Linked DNA regions of Saccharomyces cerevisiae S288C. The protein of the gene in region 2 interacts with the protein of the main gene of each other region in a biochemical or structural test. Each region holds a gene or a part of one and is shown on either strand. Other genes may lie near its edges.

What was found.
Region 1: the proteins of PRO3 (region 2) and CMD1 form a complex in vitro, tested with the Saccharomyces cerevisiae proteins (one study listed by BioGRID).

What each region holds. Positions count from the first base shown.
Region 1 is NC_001134.8:457,079-460,045, reverse strand, and holds CMD1 (calmodulin), read left to right. Parts: upstream 1-1,683; coding exon 1,684-2,127; downstream 2,128-2,967. Other genes in the region: ALG1 (chitobiosyldiphosphodolichol beta-1,4 mannosyltransferase), read right to left, coding at 1-1,174; AIM3 (Aim3p), read right to left, coding at 2,381-2,967.
Region 2 is NC_001137.3:199,099-202,776, reverse strand, and holds PRO3 (pyrroline-5-carboxylate reductase), read right to left. Parts: upstream 1,702-3,678; coding exon 841-1,701; downstream 1-840. Other genes in the region: carnitine O-acetyltransferase YAT2, read right to left, coding at 1-585; SRB4 (Srb4p), read right to left, coding at 1,902-3,678.

The DNA.
Region 1 (2,967 bases), on a different chromosome or scaffold from region 2:
GTTGTACTAATTCGTCAAGCACTGGATAGTTCATTGCAATAACAGGAAGACCTGAGCCAAACATATCTAAAATTTTCATTGGCAGGTCCAACCCTGAACTTGAAGTATGCAGGGAAACTCCGTAATCGCATAATTGTAATAACTTTGGGTAATCCTCTGCTGACAACCACACAAATTCGATTTGACAGCGCTTCCAGTCATATTCTTCTACTTGCTTCATATATTTCTCCTTTAGTGGTCCTTTACCCGTTATAAAACACAAGATCTTAGGCAAACTTGAATCAAATTTGACATAAGAGTTTTCGTAAATCTTTAGGGCACCTAATAAAATACCAATATCTTCATCAGGGGTGAATGATGTTGAAGTCACAATAATTTTATCGCCTTTTTCTGTATCAAAATCATCGCGAATATAATTCTTTATAAAGGCTTTGGTAGTTAGGGCTTTTTGACGAGAAATGTCACCTGCCAAAGGTTGAAATTGGGAAGCCGGGCGGTCGTAGAGAACAGCACATCTCTTTGGATTCAAGTGAAAGCTTTGAATTAAATATTTCCTCATTGCTTCAGTAACAGTCAAGTTATAATCAGCAAATTTGCTGAATATCATCTCTACCATGTAAGATATCAACACTAAAGGATGGTAAAAGTTTCCTTTAAATTTTAGTTGCAATATCGAATATGCTAGATTGTGCCAATCAATAATTAGTTTACAACCGGTCAACTTGTATAGCACAGCAATCGGAAGAATGGGTATGCTCGGTGGATTTTGAACTAGTATGTAATCGCTTCCTCTCAATTCCCAAAGTAATTTGAAAATACTTAAAACTTGAAAAAGCACCTTCTTTACCATAAATATAACTGATGTTCCGCCTCCCTTTCTTTTCAAGTTTGACATATGATGGACGGTGATATTTGGATCACTGGAAATAATTTTGGGTAGAGTGTCCTCCACATAACCGCATAGCTCGACTTGCCAACCTAACTTACTGAAACTTATAGCGTGATAGCATATCCTTGGAGAGTGTCCTACATCACCCAGCACAAATATGATGATCCTTTTTTTGGTCGACTTGTTGCCATAAAACAAGTAGGGTATAACATAATAAACCACTAACGGTATGGAAAGGTATAATATTATTAAGGCAAGTAACCACCGAGGAATTTCCAAAAACATTTTCACCAATTGACTATAGCCCCTAAAATGCCGTTACAATTACCCTCTAATGGCTTTGCTAATTGCTGATTGAAAGATATATGACCAATTAACTTGATGATTGCTATATGCGCGTTCTATTGAAGCAACGTGCAAGATGATCACTGCTTGGATTGACCTTGTTTTAGCAACAAGCCATACAAAGATATCAGACAGGAAAGTCACAGTCAAAGCATGCAAAAATCGACAAAGCAAACATAAGTAGAACCTGAGAACATCAACCATATGTCCTAATGAATTCAAGCACCCTCTTTTCCACCCAATTTGAGACATTTTCAAGATGTATTTATATTTTCGTGTACTGTGATATGACTTTATTCTTAGAATTTTTTATTGCCCGCGTAAGAAGGTGTTTAACAAGAGATCTTGTTAACTCACAAGGGTACTCTGACTGGATAGAAATCTTATTCTTGACCGGAAACTATCGAACTACAAAGAAAGAGCTTAGTTAATACAAATAAAAAAGTACAATGTCCTCCAATCTTACCGAAGAACAAATTGCTGAATTCAAAGAAGCCTTTGCCCTCTTTGATAAAGATAACAATGGCTCTATCTCATCAAGTGAATTGGCCACTGTGATGAGGTCATTGGGTCTTTCGCCCAGTGAAGCAGAAGTAAATGATTTGATGAACGAAATAGATGTTGATGGTAACCATCAAATCGAATTTAGTGAATTTTTGGCTCTGATGTCTCGTCAACTCAAATCAAATGACTCTGAACAAGAACTACTAGAAGCTTTTAAAGTATTCGATAAGAACGGTGATGGTTTAATCTCCGCCGCTGAGTTGAAACACGTGCTAACATCCATTGGTGAAAAATTGACTGATGCCGAAGTAGATGATATGCTAAGAGAGGTTAGTGATGGATCAGGCGAGATCAACATTCAACAATTCGCTGCTTTGTTATCTAAATAGGTGCATCCTTGTGATTTTTTGCTCCCGCTATCTTACCCTTACCATTCTGGTTTTATAGTATTCGTTGAGTATCGTTTCATCTAAAGTTTGACAACCACACGCAAATATATACTGTACGTAGACAGGGTTAATGTTATTTATGTAGATAAGTAATGTTCCTGAGAAGACAGTTTAAATAAAGGATACGGATTGTTTACCAAGGCGGATAACTAAATTTAGCCAGTATTAAGTTCAATGTTGCGTAGCTATTTCATTATTTTAATTTATGCAGTCTGTCATCTTCTTGAGGAACAACATTTCGTTTGTATCTTTCAAAAGGATTTAAGTTATCGTCAGCAGCAGAAATATCTCCCGAATAGGCCCTCTCCATTTCAATAGGTCTTGGTTCGAGCGATTTTAGTAATGGCTTTTTCTTTGGGACCACTGGTGGCTTTTTCTTCAGGTTATCATTCTTTTTTGGGACAACAGGCGGCACTTTCTTTGGACTAGACCTAGAAGGTGGAGGCCTTGGTGGAGTAATAGACCCCGATGCAGACACATATTTTTCATCTAGATCTGAGGGAACAGGGCTAGAGTCCTTCACTTTTTTCGAACCGCCTAACTTTTCCAAATTAACGTTTGTTTTTCTTAATTTGATATGCGACAACTCATTGGTAATGGAGTTTAAAACTTCATCTTGTCCAGTTGCTTCCCTAGTAAGTTCCTTGGGATATTCATTGGCCTTTAAAGAAAAATTTCTAGGTTTTGGCTTTACAACAGGAGGAGGCGCCTTCTTCGTAGACTGTTGCGCTTGAATAGACGAAGTTACAGGAGGTATTGACTTTTCATATTTATTAGCAT
Region 2 (3,678 bases):
ATCAAAATTTTCAACCTCACCGCGCTGAAAAACAGGACTACGAGTAGTACCGAACAAGTTCAGAAATGGAGCCATTGACAGTGGTTTGCCATTGGTGGCATTGATATCTGGTGGCAACAAATCTTGTTTCAAAGCAGAAATAAACCTGGCCGCAGAGTGCACTAGGACGGCTGACCTATCAGCTTGAGTGATGTTTGGCAAAGCGTCATCTGCGAGAACCAAGAAGGGATTCCTGGGTAGGACATCGTCCTGAATCTCCCTAGTGGAGGTCTGGTTATTGATGTCTAAGTGTAATTCATCAAGGTAGCAATCCCTAGTGTCATGGTAGCTCTGTAGTTTAGATTGCAGCTTCTCACTTACGGGATTCTCTTCAAAATCTCTTATTATGGATGACAGCTTCTCAATTTGTTCTGGATCTAAAGGATGTTGATAGTAACCATCAGCATAATACAATGGCTCTAAACTCTCCTTCAGACGCTGCAAAGTGTCACAGAGTTTAGGTAATGGTAACTTGGGTAGTTCTTCCTCATGCTTAAATGTTCGCCCCGACTTGTCAGACGAAACAATAGTACTGCCGCTTGACATGGTTGCTTAGTTTTATTTTAATTTTGATTTTTGATTTTCATTTCAAATGAATCAATTGCTCTTACTCATTACAAACACATTTATATAATTTTTTTCTTTTATACGCTCCAATTAGTGTCATTATTATGGGGTAGTCATTCATCGTGATGATTCATTATCGGACCGACGGGAAAATGACGAAAAAATGCAAGGTCAGTAATAAAAAAATAATATACGGCTACAAAGCGAACATACATACATTTCACGCAAAGCAATCTATTTCTTCTTTTGGCCTAATTGTGACGCAACACGGGCTGCCTCTTCAACACCATTGATAATACCGCTCTTGACGCCCTTTTCTTCCATTACGCACAACCCGGCAATAGTTGTACCACCTGGTGTGCAAACTTGATGCTTTAAAACGGATGGATGAGCACCGCTTTTCTCAACCATCTTCACTGTTCCTTCTAGAACTTTCATGGCACACTCCTTACTCTCTTGTAATGGGATTCCCAATTTCAACCCACTCTCCATCAAGGATTCTAACATCAAGAGAACAAAAGCGGGGCCTGAACCGACTAAAGCCGTAGCAGCATCCATGTTCTTTTCTGGAAGCTCAACGTATTTACCAACTTGGCTAATCAATTCGTTGACCAGTGGCTTTTGCTCTTTGGAAACATCAGCTGAGTAGGACACCACCGCACAACCATATCCGTACTTGGCAGGTGTGTTCGTCATAACACGGCAAACAGTGCTAGTGTATTGACTCAATTGGTCAATTGTCCAGCCAGCAGCCAGGGAAATAAGTAGCTTTCCCCCAATGACGCTCTTCACACCATTCAACACTTCTTCGGCCAAAAATGGCTTGGTACCAAGAAGAACTACAGAAGCTTCTTCGACAGCGCTCACGTTGTGACCGTAAGTGCTTTCGACTTTAATACCGTTAGGAGATTCGTCGAATGTCTCAACTAGATCGGTAACTTGTTGTGCACTAGGTTCATCATGGTTACATGTGATAATTTTGGAAGGGTAAAATGCAGCAGCAGTTTCATCAGCCGCCTTTGGAGCATTATAAATGGCGGAAAGAAGTGCTTGGCCCATAACACCGCAGCCTAAAATTGCCAATGTGTAAGTCATATCTGTAGTTGGTTTGTTTGCTATTGGTGTTGTGTTACTTCTATTGTTGTTACACCGTTCTTAACCTGGCAATGTTATTAAATCCTTCATATTCTTGTTTTCGAAGATAAGATCTTGTCCTTTTGTACGTATGCGACTTTATATAGTAATAAATGGCATTCTATGGCAATGTATGTAGGTTTAAGGAGTGACTCAGGATATTACACCTTCTTTTGCTGGATGTACTCAGCGACAATAAAATGTAGGAAGTCCTCTACTTCTTTAAAATCAGAAAATGTTGTGTCAAAGGACACTGCGTTGGCTTCCGTACCAGCTGAAAACTTGATGTGAATGAGTGCGTTACAATAGTTAGGACTTTCGAGCATTAAACTTAGATTAGGGCTTTTGTGCTCAGTTAATGGTAGATTTATTTTGAGTTCACGTCTAGGTATATTCAATAGTTTATCGAAGGCACGGATCTCTTTATTTAATTTAGTTATATTTTCATCATCAATGTTTTTATTTTCTTGAGGTTGTTCTCTCTCAACTTCCGTTTCTGTTATACTTGAGCCAGGAACTATATCGAGCACGTAATCCTTTATGATTTTTTTTAGTAACAGTTTGTAATTAGCAAACCGAACTTTACCAAGAATGGGACGTATTATTAAGATATCATCGTCAACATTCAAATTGATCAGTCCGTGGGGTGAGCTTATTCTCGATCGTAATGTTTTCTTGAATATAACGACTAATAATAGTCTCAACATAACAAGCATTAAATTTGCTCTCTTGTCGTTGATTTTTGGTAAGTCTTGTTCATGATTGACAATGGAGTCATCGTCAAGGGACAACAACTCGATTTCAAATTTTTCGTTAGGTAGTTCAATTATTACCTTGTTTTCGTTTTCAATACTGACACCATAGGAAATCAACAAAGCGCATTCTTTCTTTATTTGGTACATCAGTTCTTTTTCAAAAATGATCTTTTTCAAAAGTTGGATTTGCTTTCTGATATCTTTCGTTTCAGCTTCTTCACTTTCACTATCCCTATCCATCACACTTTCGCCACTCAATATGTAATCATCTTCTGATTCGATTTTTGTGAAGATACGAACCCTTAAGAATTTCTTTACTGAATGTACGAAATCAGTGCCTTTGAACACTGAACTACTGTGGGGTATCAAATCCAAATTTTGTGATTCTATATTATTCCTTATATTAGCAATACCTCTGTCATGCTTATAGGTAGATCCAGAGTCTTCGTAACCATACTTAATTGCCAACAGCTTTTGACCACTAGTCCTGTCCCTAATCTTAAAAATAACATCCTTGTTGCTAATACTCTGCATTATCTTATTCCAATAGTCATGTTCGTTCTGTAATATGGAACTCAGTTTATTAAAACTTGCGCGTAGGAGATCTTTAGATTCGTTTAAACTTTGTAACTTCCATCCCTTATTCAATATATCCAACTCGATATATTCTTTTTTTGTAGGTGCAACATATGGAATTTTATCACTGTTTAAACTAGAAGGTTTAACAACTTTCCTAAGAAATGGTGACATTGATGACATACCTGTAGACTCTTTAACACTCGACAGTAGCAAAGAAACGAATTCCAAAGCCAAAGACGATTCGTTCATGGCCAGATTTATATGCTCTAGCATATCCCTCCTTCTTTTAACAAACTGTTCCTGTGTCATTACCGTTTCAATATTATCATCGGTCTCGCCATTTTCATTCGTTTTGTGGTCTGTTTCATTTCGTGAATCCACTGGATTATCTTTATCTTCATAATCCACTTCCATGAAATCTTCTCCAATTTGTACATTCTCATCAGCGCCATCAGTGTCCTTCTTCTCGCTGTTATGACCGTCACTACTATCACTACCAAGCTGCTTAATCTCATTTTGCAATTCTTTTTCATTTAAATCAACGAATTTAAAGCCTGGACCACGCTGTCTTAAGATGATTGGGATCAATTGCTCCAACGGCATG